Linked DNA regions of Arabidopsis thaliana. The protein of the gene in region 2 interacts with the protein of the main gene of each other region in a pairwise test. Each region holds a gene or a part of one and is shown on either strand. Other genes may lie near its edges. The genes, in order: PUB14, RK3, PUB38 and SAUL1.

Region 1 (4,837 bases), on a different chromosome or scaffold from region 2:
CTTCATTGGAGGTGTAACATTTGCTGAAATCTCTGCTTTACGGTATCTCGCCTCTAAGGTATATATCAAACTTCAAAAGTTTACCATAAAAAAAACACTCTTTTTGTCCGCTGAATCCTCCATTCTTGCTTCTGCATAAAATTTTATCAGGAAGGAATGGCTTATGATTTGATTGTTGCCACAACAAAAATCGTCAACGGCGCAACGTTGATAGAAACATTCATGGAAAAACTAGGCTGATCCGTAAACTGAGCGTTATGTTCATCTTTTCTCTTTCGAGTGTGTTTATTAATTCATTTTTTGTATGTCTTTGTTTATTTTTCTGGATCATTGTGGTTGCAGAGTGAATGGTATGCGTATGTGTATGTGTATATTAAATGGTTGAGATACAGCGTGATTATACAAATTCAATAATGTTTTCTTGGTACAACCTTTCACTTCAACTTCTGCTAGTTATATACGGCTTTACTTCTCCCTAATTCTCAAGCAAATCGAGAGTGTGAAACAGTAAATAATAGGGTTACTTTTACTTTTAAATATCAAATAGATATACACAACTCTGAGTCGAAAATTACATATAACATCATTACATAAGATTCTTATGTCAGACTCAAACCAAAGGTTCCTATACATATAATCTACACTGAAACAAATAACATTCCAAAAGAGCGAGGCTTTCATGGAACAGTAGTTACTGCAACACCTTCGGTTTGCTGAATAAGCTCCAACAAGCTCGCAGCTTTCCTCTTTGCTCTATCAGTGCCATTCTCAGTAAGTTCCTTCAAGGCCACATCTGCACCAACCTCTCTTGCTACATTTAGCCTTTCTATATTCCCAATACATAGATACCAAAGTATTGCTGCAGCATTTTCCCGGTTCCTTGGTGACCCTGTCCTTATAATCTCAACCAAAACCGGGATAGATTCTGCTTCAGCTATCGCTGTTTTCCCTTCTTGGTTAGTTGAAAGAATTGCTAAAATGGCCAGAGCCTCATCCACCATTCCGCCACCTGCATCTTTCAGTAATCTGGTCAGAGGGTCAACAATACCGCCTTTAACCGCCCTTGATTTGTTCCCCTGGTATATGCATAAGTTGAAAATCGCTGTAGCAGCATCTTTTTTGCCTCTTCGGGTTCCTTCCTCAAGCAAGCTTATAAGTGCTTGGATAGCTCCAGCAGCACCTATTGCCACTTTGTTTTCATCTATAACAGATAAACTGAAAAGGGTTGCAGCAGCGTTCTCTCTAGCTTCCATGCTTCCGTTCTTTAGGACTTCTACTATATCCGTTATGGCTCCTGCATCAACAATGGCTCCTTTGTTCCCTTCATTTATGGAAAGATTCAGAAGAGCTGTCACAGAATGTTCCTGAGTCCGAGGATCTGGTGAGGATAGAAGCTCTACAAGGAGTGGTATGGCTCCAGCCTCAGCGATACAAACTCTGTTATCCACGTTCCTCTTGGCTAGTAACCTTAATTCTCCAGCTGCAGCTCTTTGCTGTTCTGTAGTACCGTTGGCCAATTTCTCTAACAAGGAAAGGACAAATGTTCGATCACAATCTGAAGAGCTGCTTCCTCCTATTTTTGTGGTTCTACAGCTCCCTTGATTTTGCGGTAGCTCAATGCCGTTGCTTTCACACCACAAAGCAATGAGACTCTTTAACACATAATTAGGGGTTAATCCAGCATGTAAAAGTGTCTCCTGAGATTTCGGACATGTTTTATGACCAGCATCAAGCCACTTCTGAATTGATGATCTTTCATATGTCTGCAAGGTCGAAAAATTCAGCTATAACAACAAATACACAAGTTTAATAATCAAATTCACTACAATGCACAACGAAACTTGCAAAGCCAGACCTGTCCAGTGGAGACGATAACAGGATCCTTCATCAGTTCAAGTGATATCGGACACCGAAAATACTCTGGTATAACAGGAGAACGATGTCTCGAAACGATTCTGCTGCCAGTGGATGGATCAGGGTCTGAACTTTCCATTGTTACAAAGTCTACCAGGTTTTTAAGAAGTGAAGACATCCTCTCGAAACAGTCATCAGGATCTCCATCATATGAAAGAAAATACTCATGTATCGCATGCGATTCTTTCTTCAGCTCATCAATGGTAGTAAGTTGGAGCTCTTGTGAAAGTCTTTTGAGGATTATAGGGTCAGGATCCATCACATTCTCTGCCATAGCTAGATCATGGCTAAGCTGTAGATCAGACTCCTCCCATCTTTCTTTTGCTCTCTTGAACTGAAAATGCAGAAGCTGAACCTACAAATTCAGAGAGCTTATCATTAGAATTCAGATTTTAATCAACAGAAAAATATAGCCCTCCTTAAATCAATGCATTGAGAAGTACCTGTTCTCTGACTTCCTCTGATACCTCAATCTTCTCATAAGGAATCTGACTTAACGCTGCTTCTATCTCCACTGTCATGTCACGGAACTTCTCCACAAGAGAATCTCTATCGAAAAGCTGCCAGCAGAGAGAACACGAAAAAGGTCTCAACTTCTTGTTATCAGACTCAATTTGATTCATCCCAAAATAAGAGAAACAAGACAAAACCCAAATTCTTGATATTGTTAAAGAAGACAAAGACAAACAACAAAACCCTAAACACCAAAATCTTAAACCCTCGAAGAGAAAACAAAGGAAATTGCCAACTTTTGCCAGCTACCAAAGATATAAATACAAATAAAACAGAGCAAGTAAATGAGTAACCTGAAAAAGCTTGCTTCCTCCATTAACCGATCGAAAAAGCTCAAGACTTGAATCAAGAGCGATTCTCATAGCCTCAAACCCTGTAATCTGATCCTTTTTCAATTCAACATTGACGTCAATCAATTCCTCGAAGAAAGGGCTGAGAAGCGTGATCCTACGAACAAGATCGCCTTGGATCTTCCCAATAAAACCCCTTGAAGATGAAAACCCTGATATTTCTTTAACGGAGTCAACGAGTCGACTCATTAGCTCCTCGTGGGAACAACAATTCGTTAATCCCATCCCTCAGATTTTACTGTTCCAGAGGGCTTCAAAAGGGTTTTAACGAAACCAAGACGAGGAAGAAGAAACCCAAAAAACCAAGAGGAGGAACAGAAATGCTATGGAACGAAATAGTCTTCTCATCAACGTGACAATAAACACCTATTTGGACATGAAAAGTCTCATTTTGTCCATTTTCAGACCAATCATAATTTTTTCTATTTTATTTTGCCGTTAAATTTTAATATTTAAACATTGCATTTAGATTTTCATATTTATTTATTGCCTCAACTATAAATTTATGATATTAAGGTTGACCAATACAAATATATAAAGTTTTTAAGTTTGTATTTGCATCTGAAATCATCAAAAGTCAAATCCTTTGTATAATGGATTTCTCTACCTGTTTGTTAGTCTCTTTGAAATTGTCAAATAATTTCTTGATTTAGGTTTTGTTAGAATTGGCTGCAATAGTCTCTCCCACAAACTATACATGCATTGAATCATTTGAATGAAGCTTTACTCTTCTCTACTTCTGATGAATCCCACTAAAATATGTACTGATGATCCATTGCTTGATATAACTTGGGTTTCCACTTTTGAGGTTCGTAATATCCCCAGTTTCAAACTCAAATCTTCACATTATACAACACACTTGACTTAACAGATAGAGAAATATTGTTTTGAAACATTACATTAAAAAGTATGGAAAGATTAGTAGTCTGAAGACATGGCTGAAGATGAGATGATTCAACACTCCAATCATGACGAAGGAGCAGGACGAGGTAGCCTCTTGCCAATTTCCTATCAGACATGTGTACACTACAACAAGTTAAAATCTCATATACTTCGTATTAATCCATCTTTCTGCATCCAAAACTATTATCCTCCACAAACTACAAGAAATTAAATCTCATATCTAGCTGCATATCACTGCCTATCACTTTTCCATCCTCCAATTCCAAAGCAATGAAAGAAACGGATAATAAGATCTCAATAAATGCAGAGGACAAGAAAATCGATCATAAATCAGAGGCAAGAAAGAAGTGCACACCTCAAACAGTTGATTTATGTTATCGGCTGTCTTGGCTGACGTCTCAATGAAGAACATGCCGTTCTTCTCTGCAAGCTCCATTCCATCCTGTTAAGAAATTGAAAATGTGATACCACTGAAGAAGCAAGGACAATGAAAGTGACAACAAAATGCGCTACGGAATCTAGATGAAGACGTTTACGCAAACTCACCTCAGTAGGTACTTCTCTTTTTTCATGTAGATCAGCTTTGTTACCAACCAGAGCCATAACAATATCTGGGCTTCCATGCTTTTGCAGTTCCTGTTAGATTTATGGGCAGGGGTAAAACAATAGCACTAGATTCAATATAATGTTGATATCTTTCCTGCACGGAGTTGTGCCAAATGGCTTCATGGTAGCAACGAGTGCAAATTAATGGAACAAAAATGTCAGAGAAGTAAACCAGTTGCCCAACTAAATGATACCCATTATATACACAGACAGGAGTGCTGTTGGCTATATGACTGTCTGTAACTCTAATTTTCAGTCCTGGTAAAGATATAGCTCGGAAGCTATTGCACGAATCCTAGAAACATGAACGAAATGGAACCTTTTGAACCCCCTGAAAACATACCTTAACCCAATACTGTGCTTTCTTGAACGATTCAGGGCTTGTTATATCATACACAATAACAGCAACTCCAGCTCCACGGTAGTATAGTGGTGCAAGAGCAGAATACCTAAAAATAAAGTGAATGCAGGTTAAATCCTAGTAAGTTTGCAAAGCGTTTATCTAATAAAATAAGCAATACAAATCTGCATGAAGGGTTTAATACCTCTCC
Region 2 (6,507 bases):
ACTAATCATCTCTCAAGAACCCGACCAAAAAAAATCATCTCTCAAGAAATTAATTATCTATGCTAAATATTCTAAATTTCTAAACTCTCATTTAAAATTTAAATTAGCAAGCATTCATGTCAATATTAATGTGCTCATAAATCACAATTCTGTATATCAACTATCATTATTAAAGGACGAGCTACTCATCAAAGGTTAATTAAGGAATTTTGACAGAACACTTTTGATGCATAAAAATCCTTATGATCTAAAACAATTTTAATCAAGCCTCTCCAAACATTGAAATTGCGAACACTTTTGATGCACAAAAATCCTTATGATCTAAAACAATTTTAATCAAGCCTCTACAAACATTGAAATCACCTTGAAATGAAGGAAAATTTGAAATCACCTTAAAATGAAGGAACCATGAAGGATTTACTCTGTCATCAGTTAAAAACAAAAAATCCACTATACCCCCATGATCTTCCTAAAGCCCATAAATTAAATCCACCGGATTTTGGCCATGGTTAGCGATGGAAATAGGTGTTGCTGATCATAAAAAATTCTTATAACGTATGTACTTATTAAAAAAAAAATCTATTACAACATGTACAAACCTAATCTCAAAACGTACAACCCGAAATTCTACTAACCAACAATATTTGCCTCTTCTAGTAGCCATAATTTATAATATGAAAGTCTGAGAATCTTTCAAAATATCACATTGATGTCCTATAACTGCAGGACTATTTGGGTTATCCATAAAGCAATTACAGAATACATGCTTAATTAAGACAATTGAATCATGTAGTAACCTTTGCAACGGAGACGTACAGAGAAAATACTATGCACATAACTAATACCATCTTTCCTAGTTGATTCTTATTGTCGCTCAATTTAGTCATCTTAGTATAGAAGATTGGCTAGTTGACAGTCACATTACCGAGCATCAAGGACCGAGACAGTAATTTGGTTCACTGTCCATGATTCATCGTCGCGCTGTTTACTCGACGAAGAATCAGTGTCAAGAAGACTTCTCTCCAGGCAATAACCGGGCGCTTTAGGTTGAGGAATAGTTGTTGATTCGCTTCCGAGCATCAAAATTACCAAGGACATAGTTGGTCTGTCCTCTGCACGTTCTTGAACACACAAGAGGCCAATTTGTATGCATCTTAAGATTTCATGTTGCCTGAATGTTGATGAAGAATCTGTGATGATTGGATCTATGATCTCTAGCCCTTTTCCTTCTTTCCAATTCCTCCACACCTGTGTATAATGATCGAAATTTTTCTAGTGTTATCATTATTTTGAGTGTAAAACAAGATCAAGTTTGAGAGGTTTTTAACTTACACAACCGAGAAGGTTAAGGTCACGGTCCGAATTGTAGAATCCTTTGTTCCTCTTGCTACTTATAATCTCAAGAAGCAAGACCCCAAAACTGAAAACATCTGACTTCATCGAGAATATCCCGTCCATTGCATATTCAGGAGACATATAACCGCTGAATAACGAAGATTAGACTCAAAGTTTTGAGTTATTTTTTTTTAATTCAGATTTCAAACAAAGATTTTTAATATTTTGGAGAATGATTGCTTACTAGGTTCCAACCACCTTCCTCGTATTAGCTTCTGTCTCATCCCGTCCAAAGATCCTAGCCATTCCGAAATCCGAGATCTTTGGAGTCATATATTTATCAAGCAAGATGTTACTTGCTTTCAAGTCTCTATGGATAATTCTAAACCGTGAATCTTGGTGAAGATATAGAAGTCCTCGAGCAATACCATTGATGATATCAAATCTCATTTGCCAATTTAGCTTAGAGTTTCGGGATTTGTCTGCTAATGAATCATCACTGGATTGAGTACATTATTTTTAAAGACATTGAAAAATTGTTAGAACAGAGTTGTAAGGAGTTGAGACACTAACCAAATAGATGAGAGTCGAGGCTTAGATTTTCCAAGTACTCGTAAATCAACATCTTCTCACCCGCATCGACGCAACATGCAAGAAGCCTAACAAGGTTTATGTGCTGAAGCCTTGCAATCAACTTTACCTCATTCTTGAACTCATCAGTCCCCTGAACTGATGTCTTTGATAGTCTCTTCACTGCCATTTCTTGACCATCAAGTAACTTTCCCTGTAACCCTTAATTTTGTTACACAACGAAATATTTGTCCAGCGATAGATTATGAATTAAGTTTTCAATCATTTTTACCTTATAAACTATACCAAAACCACCTTGTCCTAGCTTGTTGGCGTTAGAAAAATTGTTTGTGGCCATGGCAACTTCTTCAAACTCCATCAATGGCAATTCGAGATCGTCTGTATTGTTTTCTCTAGATATGTGTCTCCTACTTGATATTACAACTTCGTTCATTAGCAAATCTCGGCTTCTCAGTTGATGATCAACTGTTACATACAGACACCAAAAACAGTAAAGATATTAGTTTTAAGAAATTTACAAACAAAAAGAAAGGAATTAAAATTTACAGATATACCAATAGGTGTTTCGATTAGTATTGATCGCTTCTGCTTCCTTTTCCACAAGAAGAAGATAATGAAACTTAAAAGAAGCAAAACGCTCACTCCAATACTCGAACCTATGATTTTTGCACTTCTGTTTCTTTTGTCCTCTGAAATAATGAAAAGAGATGTCAAATTGAGCACAACATTTAGGACCTCGACCATGGAAATGAATATCATTTTATAAAACAAACTAGTATTAGTCTTATGATTTAACAAAATAATAAACATTGTCGTACTTTTGATTAAAGATAAACGCCAACAAACAAAAAACAGCGTTATACTGTTATCGCCAATAAAAACAAAACATAAAGATTGGTCTACCTAAAAATAATTTCTTTTGGCTTTGGATCTACCTTACCATATTATTCTTGAGATTGATAAGTTTTTGTGAAGAATATAGTAGTAATCAAAAGTTTCACTCATGCGTTGCATCTTTTAAGAAGATTAAAAGTCCATTGGACCTTAGTTCTTTATCACAAGAGTTTTCACATATAATGCCAAGACCGAATGCGTCAACATCTCAATCAAGTTTAAGAAGTTTGAAAAGAGGGAAAATAAAACTGAAAAACGTTTTGTTAAATTCCAAATTCGTTAACCAACAACAATATAACATTGACTTGCACTATTCAACACCATTCTCACATTCTACCCCAAAAAAAAAGTGCTTTATCTAACAACCAAGTTAATTACTATTCTTGAAACCCTTAAAAAACGTTTCTTCCTTTTGTCGTTTAAGAAAATCTTTAGTATAATGTGATAGGATTACTCAATAACTTGATTGGGCAGTTTTAGCATCAATTTTTAGTCTTACTGACAAAATCTTTTATGATGTCTTTTTAGTTTCTAGTATGTATAAAACTGTTTACATGTTTTGAAAAGTGATCTTGAAGACTATTATCAACCGTTACTTAGCAAAAGTAAATATGTGGAAAATGAAAACCAAACATATGTCATTTAGTCTAATAGAGATAGTGGAGAATGAACTAACCGAGATCAGTAGCAGCCAATCTAACGTAAAGATCTTGACCACCTTTGGCATAATTCCTGATATCAAAAAGCTCTCCGGTCCAAGTCACACAACCCGACCCGCTACCCCGGATATCCGTATTCGCAAACGCCGTGCAATTACAATCTCTTAAACACTTCTGTTCACATTCTTTCACACCAATTCCTCTGTCCACACTAGCCGTGGTAGTATCCGGCAATTTCATTTTCTTCAACCGCACAAACCCATCTCCGCCACCACAGCTCAGTAGCGTCTTCCTCACGCAACCATCCGACCCGTCTCTCAATCCCCACACTTGAGGATTCCTCGGCTTAAACCCTTTAATACAATTACAAACAGGTGAAGTGTTCGAGTCGCAATAACCGTAAACACCACACTCTTTGTACTCATCACATTGGTCTTTTGGTGCGTACCAGAATTGGTTCCAATTCTGTGCTGTCTCAATCCAAGTGAATCTTTGTAACAATCCTGAGGAGCTTATGCTTAATCTCGAGTAAACGTCGCTTTTAGTGATTCTAAATGAGTAAGTCACTTCTTCTTTACTCGTAGTGAAATTGAAAACCATGTATTCAAATGGTTGCATCTCCGGTACACCACTAAACCGGATTCCATTCCATGGACCACTCCGGTACATTCGTGATTCTCTGTTCCATAGAAAAATCTCAGGGAAGCCTTCGGTTTCGAGTTTGAACGAGAAATCTCCACTTGATGGATCATCTGGAGATTTCCATGATCTAATGAATCTGTTGAACCCGGTTTTGGCATCCCAGCCAAGTTTCATCTCCGGAAGTAAAGTATCTGTCGGAAAATCAAAACTCTGCCACAAAACTCCATCTGGAGCGCTGTTCTTGGAGTCTCTGAGCACAAAATTACCATTATCAAGAAGCTCTGCCACCAATGGAGATCTCACATCTCCTCCGGTCAGATTCGTCGACCAAACCGGTGTATCGGACTGATCCAAAACGACAAGATTACTGTCGGAGATTTTGAGAGTTCCGATGGAACTAGAGAGAGGAGTGTCTCTGTTTGCAACCCATACGTAGGTTCTCTTAGAGATTGCCTTGTACCAAATTCCAAGATACCAACGAGAATCTAAACCGGGTTTGAAGAAACCAAGCTCGAAGACATTACCAGGAGACACAATGGTGTTATTGCTTGAGATAGTTAGAGATTCTGAAGCCGACAAAGTGTTGGCAGAGATAGAGTAAGCAGGGAACAGAATTAAGAGGAAGAAGAAGAAGAAGGTGTAAGAATGGTAGAAATTTGGTAAACCTCTCATTTCTCTAAACCAAGTTTTTTGTTTTTCACTCTTTCTTGAGAAAAGTATGAGAGTTTATTTCCATTGGAGATATCGGACATGTTTTGTGTAATGTGTGAACCTTACGTAACCGATTTTATTTCTGTCAATAATATATTACCTTGCTTTTTTTCTTTTCTTGGTCTTCTTGTTCGCATTTGGAAAAAATATCTAGTTATGTACTATGTGTACAGTCCAATTCATAGTTGACCTAGCAAATAAAAAGTCTTCTTCTTCTTTTTTTTTGTCAGGCTTTCTTTCCTTTTCCAATAGTCATTTTTACTTCATAAATTCAGAATTTTTCTTCAAAATATGATATTATTGATGACCATTTTTTTTAATAAATTACTTAATATATTGCTTTTTCGTATTTTATTATCAGTCAACCTTTTGTATGCATGCTTCGAGAGTTATATAAATTTCAGTGTTCTTTTTCGTAATAAATAACTCAATTTTTTTTTTATCCTTCCCAATAAGAACTTCAATGTTAGTATTCATCAAACAAACCCTACTTTAATTTATTTCCGCATTCTCCGAAGACAAAAAAGAAAGGGGTCGTTTCACGTTTTCCTGACTTTTTCTTTTTTTCTCTAACTCTAAATAATTCATCATTCCATTCAATTTAATAATGAGTCTACATTTGAATTATTCATCACCAAATATAATGTTGTCCTATGCATTTTGTTTGACGATTTTTGGCTTTGGAGCTTGGAGGAGAGGAAAATTTATGTTAACACGGTTTTAGGTATATTATATAAGTATGAAATACGAAGACCGAATACTCTTTTCACCATCAAAACAGTACTAATTACCATAGTCAACGCTCCAAAAGTCTTATTTTTGAACATCCTCATAATTCTTCGTTCCTCGTTTGATTTATATATAATAACTCTATACATAAAAATCAATCACATTTTAATTAAATTAAACACAATAATCCTACAATATTTGAAACAACTCACCTATATTTAATAGAATGAAAAACAATTATTATGATCCTCATTTCAAAACTAACCTAAATATTTTAAGACTACCACCTTTGTTATAGTATAAACGATTTATTTGAAGATTTATTTCAGATAAATGCTTTTTGATATTTTATCTGTTTTCATTTGTTTATACTTGTAAATTGATCCATTGTGATATTTTTGAAAAAGAATAGTGTGGTGATTTTTTCAAAATATCAACATCATACTGTAATAAAACCCCATTTGTAATGTTTCACTTTATGAACAAAATTTCAAGTTTCAACAACCATTACTCCATTATCCTAATTAACCAAAAAATATTATACGTTTTCACAACAATTATATAAAAAAAAACTTTACAAAAGAACAAACAAAAGAATCTTATCGTCCAAGAACAACCGTTGAAGTGATCTCATTAGAAGAAACGATGTATTGTTGGCTCGAATCAAGAGCAAAGTTGACATCAATGGAGTTTCTTCTGGTGGAAGTAAACGTTGGTTGTCTAGGCGCAGCGAGCGTCGCTGTGTCACTCTCTAACATAAGCAAAACTGAAGCCATGTTGGGTCTCTCCGCAGCCGAATCTTGAACACATAGCATCGCTACGTGTATGCATCTCAAGGCCTCTCGCTTACTGCATGTGACCCTGATCTTAGGATCCACAAGCTCCTCTGATCTCCCATGAGTATACAAATACCAAGCCTGCAAGCATTCAGTTTCCACCACTAATT
Region 3 (4,345 bases), on a different chromosome or scaffold from region 2:
AACACCTCAGACACAAATGCATTTGTTGTTCCTCCAAATCCTCAGCAGTATCACATAATACCAAATCCAGCCGCATCACAACAGTTTCCTTATGGATTTGGTAACATTCCATTAATGCCACCTGGAGCACTGCCGCCACCGCCGCCTGGAACGTTGCCGCCGCATATGATGAATAATAACAACCAACCAAATGCAGCTCAGCAACAAGCGCAACAAGGTCAGAGTTTTCATCCACCGGGTATGATGTATTTTGGACCTCCACACCATTCTTAAGGTTAGTAAAAACAAACCAAAAAATCCAATTAGTTCTAGTATTAGATAGTTTCTGACCCACTTTATTTTATTTCATGTAACGCATATTGTAGAAAGTAGAAACGAGATCTTTTGTCTTACAAATCTTGTACCTTGAGCTGTTTAGTCAATTTTTCTTCTTTGTAACATAGTTAGACTTCTATTGTGTATCTGCGTTACATTTATATCTAGTATGCGTTTGTTTCAAATGGATCTTTTATATATTGTACAAAATATATATACATCAGTCATGCTTTTTTTCTCACATATTTCAAGTCAAGTTTACAAAAAATTTCAATCACAAAACATTTTGAATGTCTACTATACAACAACAAATGGAATGGAACTTTAGAAGCCAGAGGAGTTTTGAGTGACCACTCTGTTTCTACCACCAACTCGGAATCTAGACCTAATTGAGCCGTTGGAGTCGATAACTCGGTCCCAATCAATTGATCCTTCGCCATCTTCTTCATCATCCTCCGGCACTCTTTCTCTCATCAGCTGAAGAATCTTCTTTGCTTTCTCTCTAGCTCTCTCTGTTCCTCTCTCTTCCACTTCCTTCAACACTTCCACTGCTCTCGCCTCCTTCGCTAGTCCTTTGAATCGAAGACTCTCGTGGCTCAATGCGAACAACGCCGCTACGCAATTCTCACGAGCCGATGACGATGACCGGGCCTCTGTCGGCTCCTCCGTCCACTCCTCCCTTAACTTCCCTACAAGAATCGCAACCGCATTCGCATCAAGCATCGCCGATCTTCCTTCACTACAACACGCTAAATTACAGATCACCAACAATGCCCTGCTCGCCGATTCACCGGACCTAACCATCGAGAAAAGCGCTGGTACCGCTCCAAGCCTAACGAGCTTTGATCGATTCGTCTGATTCAACGTCAAATGGTAAAGCGCGAGAGCCGAATCATGCCGCGTCCGATCACTCTCAGCTGCACGTAACGCGTGAAGCAATGGCTGAAGCGCTCCTAAAACTCCAATAGGCATTTTATTATCATCTTCAAGAGAAAGACTAAAGATTGTTCCAGCTGCGTGTTCTTGAGCTTCTCTAGACCCCGACTTCAGAACATCGATCAAAATCGGAACAAATCCTAACCGAACAATCGTCAATTTGTTCTTCTTATCCAAAGACAGATTCACAAGCGACGCTAACGCGTTCGTCTGCACTAAACTGTATCTCGAAACAATCATATTCTTCAACAAAGAAAGAATCCGAGGAGAACAAAGCGAAACCCTAGCTTCATCATTAGTACGAGTCATCTTCCTCATCATAATCAAACCTTGCTCTTGATCAAAAATCTCACTGCTCTTAAGCTTGTTGTAAATCACTTCGTCCTCTTCTGTGGCGGTGGAAGTAGAATTAGAGAAGAAAGTGTGGTGCGTTAGGGTTTCGATTTCGGAGGAAGAAGATGATGGAGATGGAGAGAAGCAAGCGGGTCTAGTTGTTAAAGGAAGAGGAGTGAATGGACTGTGAGCAACGATTACAGATTCATCAGAAGAGGTCGTGGAGTTGTTGAAATCTCTCCTTCCCATGAGTTCAGAATCAGCGTGGTGAATTATCATCGGAGCTCGGTGAGCTACAGCTCTGAGAAGCTCTTGCTCGGAGACACGAATCTCGACGTCCGGTGGAGGCATCTGTTGCCGTAAAATTCTCTCGACGGTGGAGTAATCAGGTGGCTGAGGACGTGAGACGCCGACGGTGTCGCACCAAGTATCGATTGTTGATTTCATGTTTAGGTTAGGGATGATGTTGGAGAAATCGGGTAGAGATTCTTCGTCGTCGTTGAGTTTGGGGATAAAGTTGAGGTCGCGACAGACTTGAACACAGACACGTTCGAAGGTTTGACCGGAAGAGACAACAACAGGGTCAGACATTACTGATTTTGAAATCGGACAGAGAAATTCGACCGGAGGTTGTTGTTCTTGTTGCTGTTGTCGTGAAGATGAAGAGGTTGAAGAAGACGATCTGTGGCTGAAAGGATTCCATCTGAGCCGTCCGTTTTTACCCATCTGCGACAAATCAACGGTCAGGAATTGGTGGTGAGTTTGATTTCTGAAAAGGGTTTTGGGTTTTATGGAGAGGAATTAGGGATTTGAATTCATCTTTCGTGATTTTCTGAGAAGAAGAAGAAAGATGAGAAGAGAGGAGAGTCGTCTTCTTCCTCCTGAACTGAAGGACTTTGTGGCCTACTGACTTTTTTTTTTTGGCTTTTGTTTATTTTCGAAGTGACTATTAATTTTTTTTTTAAAAACTTGAACATATTAGTAGTAATCGAAAATGTTGACTGTGAAATTAATATAGGTGGACCCAGATGTGAATTGGCTTTCATAGTTCATGCATTCTGAAAAGTTTTATTGCTTTCTTTTTCAGGTCAATTTTGTTCATATACTTTTCTTAAAAACATATCTTTTAACTTACGTACTTATAAACTTGGAATGTAATTTATCATTTTGGAATGTAATCTAATTTGTTTTAAAAGGATGACAATACAGTGATACACTGAAATATGTGGCATCAATAAGTTTAATTTTTGCTGAATAATAAAATGATTAGATTTTTCACTAAACATGATGGACATCCATGCCATTCTTAGCTTTAGGGGAAAAAAACTTTTCTCAGTTTTAGCTGTAAGCTTTACATTGAACCTCTGACCACTTTTTATCTTGTCCTCTGATGATGCATTGTTGGGTTGCAAGTTGCATCACAGATGATATGACATTTCCCCTACAAATCTTTGTACCAAAAACCAAAGTATAAGGGTAGTCTAGTAGACAATCTGGCTTTACGGTTTTATCTTGTTTCGAATTAAGTTTTACCTGTTTTATACAAACCAAAATCGAATAAAAACTCATTTTTAGTTCGATTTGGTTTTGGTTCGGCCTTTTGGATCTTTTACTATAAATGTAACATGGTTAGGCACTGTTTTTTTTGTTTATAACCAAGTTTCTGCTTAGCCACTGTTTTGTTTTTGTTTTTGCACACCCTACCAAAGTAGTACCTTGATTAATCCTTTTACTAAAGATGTAACATGGTTAGGCAACACATTTACTTTGTTGGATACATTTAAAACAGTTTCTAACCAAGAACACAACTATTCAGGTTTTACTCCCTTTTTCATAAAACTCTTAGTCAACAGAAAATCTTTCATGAAAATCGGTATATGGTGCATGATCGCCATGACTGTAGATAACCTACCTGTAGAGTACCAAGCCGGTGGGTTTTTCTTCAGCACCACGGAAACAGTCTCTTTCGCAAAAGTCTCTGTGGGTATCGGCTTTATGTTTTGCGACAGAAACGCTCTCTCACGGATAGCGTCCTCGAACGGTTTGTATAGTTTCAATTCAGGTAAATTGTTGAAACTCGATATCCCTGAGTTAGCTATGTTTGATTGAATACCTCCTGGTACAATGTTGATTACATCAATCCCAAATGGCTTAAGCTCCAACCTAGACAAACACAAAACAAGATAGTGTTTACTGTTTAGATGATATTAATCAAGCTGATGAAAAGAGACTGCTGAAATCGAAAAACCTTAAAGTGTCGGTAAGAGCATGAAGAGCAGCTTTTGATGCAGTATAAACCCCAGCCCATGGTCCTGGTGCCATTATGCTAATACTTCCTATGTTCACAATCTTTCCCTTTTTCTTAGACGCCATGTGAGGTACAACAGCTTGAGTCATCCTCATGGAACCTGCAAAGTTTCTTTACAAAGTTCAGTTCTTGAAGAGACTTCTCACAACCCAAATCAACAGAGCAAAATAAAACATGAAAGAGTTGAGTCAAGAATTTTAACAAACACATGGTGTGCATATAAGAAGTAACTCGAAAATTTTCATTCACCGAGCACATTGGTGTTGAAGGTGTAATCCATGGCTGAAATTGGAATCTCCGCCAAAGGTCCGATACACTGAACTCCGGCGTTATTAACCAAAACATCAATCTGACCAAATTTGTCGATAACTTTCGACACAACTTTACTCACGCTCTGCTCAGACTGAACATCGAGCTCTTGCACAAAGAACTTGGAATCTTTCTCCAATTCAG
Region 4 (6,336 bases), on a different chromosome or scaffold from region 2:
GATACGACTTGAGAGCTAACAAGTGGAGAGTTTTGGGTTCGATTCCAACGTGGTGCGATGCTGATCGAGACTTTTTTCTGTTTAAGCCGTCGTGGTCTTCTGTGATTGGATTACTGGATCAAGAACATGTACATGTGCTCATGCCCATGCCTATGCCCATGCCCATGCCCATGCCTATGCCCATGCACATGCACATGCACATGCACATGCCTATGCCCATGGCCATGCCTATGCCTATGCCCATCGCCATGGCTATGCCTATGCCTATGCCTATGCCTATGCCTATGCCCATGACCAAGACCGAGACCGAGACCGTTACCAGATCTGAAGTCATCTCATCTGTAATGGCTATTATGGGTCTGGTTAATCGTACTTTGTCTTTTATTAACTAAATTAGTTTATTTAAAGGGTGCGAAGAAAGAGTTGTTTTTGTTCTTCCCAAATCTCAAATCAGTTTGTGTGAAGCTTAAAACGTTTTACAAATTGGTTTAATCTATGAACTCAATATATATTTGATGCAAAAGTAAGCACAACTCCCTCCGCAACACACATAAGCCTTTTTAATCTGAGGCCAATCAAATGATTTCGATTTCCAACGTAGGATTTATAAACAAATAAGAATCGGAATTTACAATATATACCCAGAAAAAAACTGGATGCCTATTAACAAGTAATCCCATCAAAACAAAAACCACAGTTTTAAAATCACTATAACTCACTGGACAGTTTCAAAGAGATTTTCCCTATGCGATGTTTGGGAATATACTTGAGAAGTTTGGGATCTTATCAATGTGTTTCAACGCGTTCTCAGCGATCTGTCTCGTTCTAAAATCAGCGTTTTGGAAAGCGTCCACAAGTGCAGCGCTCAGGCTCTGTTCCTCTGCCACCTCTCTTGCTATGTCTTCAATCCGCAAGATCCTTTCCACCATCCAAACCGCTCTCCTTGTCAGCCTCTCTGTTCGGTTCTCCCTCAGAACGTTTAGTATATGCCGTATCCCATCCGCTTCATCGAGTATCTTGACCCCTTTCTCTACATCTAACCCGTCTTCTAGTAAGCTCGATAGAGCTGCAAGTGCGGCCTCAACCACTTTCACATTTTCATGGTCTAATAGAGCCACTAATTTCTCCACAGCTCCTCCTTCGACAAGGCAAAATGTTTCTCTTAATGAACATATTCCCTGGTGGATCTTGCACAGCCCGTTTACAACGTGTGGTTTTCTCACACACGAAAAGATCGAGCCACAGTAGTTCACAGGAGGCGGATCAGGCATCCGTGTCAGCTTTATAGACTCTAGTGAAAGATTCTCTAAAGCCATGGCGGACACCATCTGTATGTTATCTTGCCCGTTGGATTGGAGCAGATGAAGGAAGAGTGACGCAACATCGTGCTCACGGCAAAAGTTAATGGCCCGAGCCTCTTTGTTGAAAACAAAAGTAATCCTAGCAAGTATACGCACAAGTCCTTCCAGAAAAGGATTCACAAACCTCATTCCCTTGATATCCCCTTGGCGGATTCCAAACACTTTGGATATGATTTTTTCAAAAGCACCAACTTCTAACATTTCCTGAGTAAGACCCAAATCCCTATCTGGCAATTCAGCTAAGAGCCCAGCAGCAGCAGCCTGTTCTTCAGTGATTGGTGTCTTTTCTGAAATGATAGCAACAAGGCTTCCGAGTTGTCCAGCAGTGCCACATAAGGCCTTAGCTAGTTCTTCACTCATGAATGGGGAAAGGTTATGAAGAAGCTTTATGGAAGCCAACCGCAAATCATCATTCTCTCGGACCTCTATAAACTGAACCAAACTGATGATTGCACCGGAGGTTTTAATTGCATAAACAACTTTTGGAACTGTTTTTGGGCAACTGGTGAGTCCAACAAGAACCTCCAACAGCTTGCACTGGATCGCTGGACCTGTGTTGCTAATTAGATGGAGCAGATTCTCCACTCTGTTCTCTGAAACAAGAGTGGCTTTGTCAAAGTCATACCCGATGTTCACTATGTTAGCAAGAATAGTGGCAGAGACTTCTTTCAACCGAATTGGAAGGTTGTTTGGCCCCACATAAAACAGATCTTTGATAAGTGGGGGGAGAATTCCTTTGCTGATCAAGACCTTAGCACTCCCTTCGAACGATGAGATTTTGTTAAGAGCTTTCAAGGCAGCTTCCCGTTGGGGCATGTCACCACTTCTCATAAGATCGACAAGAGAAGAACCCACAGTCTGAGCCACAAGAACCTTCACATCGTTATTTAAGGGAAGCTCCCCGAGAAAGGAAGCCATAGAGAGTTTTGTTTCAGGTGAACCTGCAGATTTCACATGTGGTGTCATTATTCATACAAGAAATTTGCCATATAACAGAGGAAAATAATGAAAGATTTGACCATCTGGGTAGAAGAAAATTGACTCTTCTTACAAGCGAACATGTAAAATTCCTAGAGCAAACAAATTCTAAGGCAGAATACCATAACACTGTGATGCATCCGAACAACTGAAGGAAGAATTTTACCAACTGAAGGAAGATGATAACTTGTTTTATGCAAATGAAGTAGAGAGCGTAATTGTTATATTAAAACCAAACAAAGAAAAGAAATTCTTTCACCTTCAAGGAGTTTGCCTAGAAGAGGCTGGAGTCTACCATATGAAGCCATCTGCCTAACAATTTCCTCTGACCTCTCCATATTTTCCAAGGTTCTATCAGCTTTCTCAACAATTGAAACATTTTCTGAGTTGCTGCTTGTCAGACCAACCAATAATATTAGTGCTCCATGAATGGAACCAATCTTCTCGCACAAAGCTTCTGATTTAGAGAGCTCAAACAGCAAGGAAACAGCTGCCTCCCTCCCCTTTGATGGCTCATGTGATAAGAACTTAACTAGTGTACGCACAGTGTCCCCTTCAGCTACTATCGCCTGCAAGATGCTGAAAATTTAATTAGCACCCGCTCAATTTCCCATTAAAATGCTACACTAAATATTCAGCAGAGATGAAAAGAAATCAGATTCAACCTTGCTCTCATCATCTCCTTCAACGACAACTTGCAGAGTTTGTAGAGCCTTATACCGCACTCTATGGCTAGTACTTTTTAACATGTCGATGATCATATGGATAAGCTGAGAGTTGCGTACACCATGCCTATTTGATCGGATGGTCCTGCAAATCTGTCGCACATGCATCAAAGCTTGCAAAATATCTGTCTCAGCATTCCCTAAAAACAGTGACTGACGAGCAATGTCAAGCTTGGCAGCATCATTCCTGGATCTCCACTCTTCGATAGTGTTACGCAGAGCTATGCTGGCGCTTACATCAGTGCTAGTCAGCTCCTGAGATGTCAAAGGGCAAGAAGGAGGTCTCCCACTGTCCCGACACTCCTTGAACCATTTCTCAATGGCTTCACGCTCGAATGTTCGACCATTCTCTAAAGTGACAGGATCATGCATAACCTCCTTTGTCAATGGGCAGATGAATGCTTCATAGATATGATCTACTCCTCGCTCAAAATGAGAGCTATCATCTGACTGGTCACCATCCGAGCTTCCAACCATCTTAATCCTTCAAACTCACTGCAAATGTACAAGCAAATACCTCATTGTTATGAAACATAGGATCCTAGATGAAAACCCACTTGGATACATCAATGCAAGAGAGTCTGGTAAGAAAGTGTCGAAATTTGATAGTAAATGAATGAGAAAGTTTTGGAAACACAAAAAGGGATAGTACCACAGTTTGGTTCCCGGATTCTTTCACAGCCAAGGAAACAAAATTCAAACTTTCAATCATAACTATAACCTAAAATACGAAAAGTAACAGTGTCCCAAAATCATCACTCCCATGAACCCTTATATAGCAAGATTACCAAATTTAGCAATATTCGTCAAAAAGATAAAGAAGAGAAACAACGTCTCATGAAGCATTTCAAAAATACCAAAAGAGATAAAAAAAAAAGCACACCAGCCTGTTCCAGTTGAAGAAGCGCCTCCTCAAAGCTATACAGAGAAGGGAAAAGAAAAAACCAAAGTTGATTCTTCTTCTGAAGTTGACAATTCGAAAACGACCACTTCTTCAAAAATCTCCTTGAGCTAAAAACGCGCGAGAAAGTGTGAGTTCTTCTTCATCCATGGATCTAATTGCAAGCAATCGAGCTTGCCTCCTACTAAAATCTCGAGCAGAGTTGATTCTATCCCCGTGCGAGAACGAGAGAGACAGGTAAAAGCGAGAGGAAATAACAGAGAAGAAGATGGGTTGAAGAAAAAATCGAATTTTTAAGAGAAAAGCACGAAAGGTTGACTAAAATCGAAAAGTCATGTGAGAGAGAGAGATAGAGAGAGACGTGGAGCCACCAAACGCCAACTTGACAAACTGAGACAAACAGCCTGGCGCTGTGTTCACACACACTCGACTTGCTCTACCCACCCACCCATAAACATAACCGGTTTGACCCGAAAGAGGTAATCTTTCGACTTGGGCTATTGGTATTAATGGGCCTTTATTAATTGGATATTACGAAAATAGCCTCGTTTGATCCGTCTTTGTTTCGATCGCTTTACGTTGTCTTCTACTTGGGCTATTGGGCCTTTACTAATTGAAATATTACGAAAATAGCCTCGTTTACTCGAGAAATTGATCTGTCTCTGTTTCGATCGCTTTACGTTGTCTTCCTCGTGTAAGCTTCGATTTGTTGATTCGCGTGTGTTGGAGCTAAATTTCGATGGCGGAGATTTACGAGGAAGGAGATGAATCAGTGGATGTGAATAAAGAATCAGAAGTGAAAACTGAGCTGGGAAAAGGGGGAGGAGATGAGAATGTTTTGCAGTTTCTAGATTCGTTGGATGGATATTTAACGCTTATGGATTCTGTGAATTCTAAGCTTCGAGAGGTAATTGGAATGATATTTGGTGTATTGAGCTAAAATGGGATCTTATGGGAATGATTCTTATGTTCTGATGTATAGATGACTTGAGATATTCTGTGTTGAATTGAATTGAATCTGGGATTAAAAAGGATTGCGTGGGAAACGTTTTCGTTGATTATCTAGCTATAGTAGCCATGAGGAGAAACTTTTTTGTGGATTCATATCACTGATATGATGAGAGTGAGAGTCTGCTGCCTTAATTAACTTATTTGGTATGGAACTGAAATGTGTTATTTTTGCAGGGATGGTTTGATCTAGCTAGTGCTCGACATTCTATGGGAACTTTACGCATCAACAGCACTCTCTTAGATCTTAAGTATCATCCCGCTTCTTCAACATTGCAAGTGACTGACCAAGATGGTAAGTTTGGCTTATGCTTTGGGCGTTTGATAGTTCAATGGTTTACGTTTATATGCTATGAATTTATGTTTTTTTTGCGGGGAAGCAACTTATATACAGTGTATGTCTATGGACTCTTGTAGTTGAATCTTTGGGATCAGTACCTCATTTTGCTTTGTCCAAGTGGGCTTCCAAGGGCGGTAGCAGGAAAGGCAAAGACTTCTCTACTGATACAGATTCGGAGATAGGCTCACCTCTCAGCCCACAGCTACGACATCGAGGAGTTTCTGGTAAAAAAAGACTCATCTGTTGGTTATTCTCTGCCCTTTGTTTGTCGGTGTTTCATCATCTCTTGCTTTATGTAATTCGATAGAAGAGAAACCATCAGCCAAGGATGAAACCGTTTTAGCAGCTGATGAAGAGGTGAGCAATCATTTAACCGTCTGCAGAAACTCTACTTGTTTTCAAAATGTAGGACGATGGTTTTACTAATTCGAATGTGTTGAGCTCCAGATAAAGAAAGAACGGGCAAAATCTCTGTCAGTATTTGGAGGTCTAGTCTCTCCTAAGCTGCGTGGCGCTCAACAATCATTTGAAACAGGTAACATCCTCATCACCACAAGTATACTCAAAGGAAGATTCCAGTTTACAACTGAAACTCTTTTTTCTCTCGTCTTTGGACAGCTCTTGAAACTCTGGTGGAAATAGCCAACATGCGTGCATCGATGATATCTGCCTTTGAGCGGATCACAGAGAAGTGAAGTTCCTTGGTAACAACTGATCCTGAAATGTGCTCAGTGGATTCAACGGAAACAGAATGGAGCCAACCTCAAAGACTGATGTTACATTGATCATAGCAGTTTGATGCTGCGAAAATCATATCTTCTTCGAGTCAGAGGGTTAGAATGTACCAATGCATTAGCTCGATTTTCAATTTTGTAGCTACCACCTTCAAGTGTATCTGTTTTGATTTGGTTAAATGTTACCAGAAGTTCTTACAAGACCTCGAGCTAAGGATATATCAAAATAATAAAACATTTTGGAGAAGAGAAACAGTAAAAATGGAGAAAAATAAAATCATTTCATTGT

What was found.
Region 1: the proteins of RK3 (region 2) and PUB14 interact in a two-hybrid assay, tested with the Arabidopsis thaliana proteins (one study listed by BioGRID).
Region 3: the proteins of RK3 (region 2) and PUB38 interact in a two-hybrid assay, tested with the Arabidopsis thaliana proteins (one study listed by BioGRID).
Region 4: the proteins of RK3 (region 2) and SAUL1 interact in a two-hybrid assay, tested with the Arabidopsis thaliana proteins (one study listed by BioGRID).

Annotation. Positions count from the first base shown.
Region 1 is NC_003074.8:20,319,689-20,324,525, reverse strand, and holds PUB14 (plant U-box 14), read right to left. Parts: upstream 3,174-4,837; 5' UTR 3,003-3,173; coding exon 2,721-3,002; intron 2,475-2,720; coding exon 2,358-2,474; intron 2,270-2,357; coding exon 1,856-2,269; intron 1,764-1,855; coding exon 678-1,763; 3' UTR 506-677; downstream 1-505. Other genes in the region: ATVPS33 (Sec1/munc18-like (SM) proteins superfamily), read left to right, coding at 1-58, 151-240; ARA6 (Ras-related small GTP-binding family protein), read right to left, coding at 3,744-3,785, 4,036-4,122, 4,227-4,316, 4,630-4,735, 4,832-4,837. UniProt on the Arabidopsis thaliana protein: Functions as an E3 ubiquitin ligase with specific E2 ubiquitin-conjugating enzymes. Undergoes auto-ubiquitination.
Region 2 is NC_003075.7:11,388,298-11,394,804, forward strand, and holds RK3 (receptor kinase 3), read right to left. Parts: upstream 4,930-6,507; 5' UTR 4,794-4,929; coding exon 3,497-4,793; intron 2,616-3,496; coding exon 2,481-2,615; intron 2,392-2,480; coding exon 2,198-2,391; intron 2,120-2,197; coding exon 1,909-2,119; coding exon of another isoform or gene 1,904-1,908; exon of another isoform or gene 1,818-1,903; coding exon 1,580-1,817; intron 1,484-1,579; coding exon 1,333-1,483; intron 1,249-1,332; coding exon 922-1,248; 3' UTR 530-921; downstream 1-529. Other genes in the region: B120 (S-locus lectin protein kinase family protein), read right to left, coding at 6,161-6,478. UniProt on the Arabidopsis thaliana protein: Involved in the regulation of cellular expansion and differentiation.
Region 3 is NC_003076.8:26,047,534-26,051,878, forward strand, and holds PUB38 (plant U-box 38), read right to left. Parts: upstream 2,514-4,345; 5' UTR 2,311-2,513; coding exon 640-2,310; 3' UTR 532-639; downstream 1-531. Other genes in the region: AT5G65180 (ENTH/VHS family protein), read left to right, coding at 1-273; AT5G65205 (NAD(P)-binding Rossmann-fold superfamily protein), read right to left, coding at 3,393-3,747, 3,833-3,992, 4,142-4,345. UniProt on the Arabidopsis thaliana protein: Functions as an E3 ubiquitin ligase.
Region 4 is NC_003070.9:7,215,017-7,221,352, reverse strand, and holds SAUL1 (senescence-associated E3 ubiquitin ligase 1), read right to left. Parts: upstream 4,333-6,336; 5' UTR 3,948-4,332; exon of another isoform or gene 3,560-3,947; 5' UTR 3,542-3,559; coding exon 3,005-3,541; intron 2,909-3,004; coding exon 2,599-2,908; intron 2,303-2,598; coding exon 744-2,302; 3' UTR 511-743; downstream 1-510. Other genes in the region: AT1G20790 (F-box family protein), read left to right, coding at 1-392; AT1G20770 (coiled-coil protein), read left to right, coding at 4,705-4,872, 5,151-5,268, 5,391-5,537, 5,621-5,670, 5,761-5,848, 5,932-6,008. UniProt on the Arabidopsis thaliana protein: Functions as an E3 ubiquitin-protein ligase. Prevents premature senescence probably by targeting proteins involved in this process for degradation. Promotes the degradation of AAO3 and thus represses abscisic acid (ABA) biosynthesis.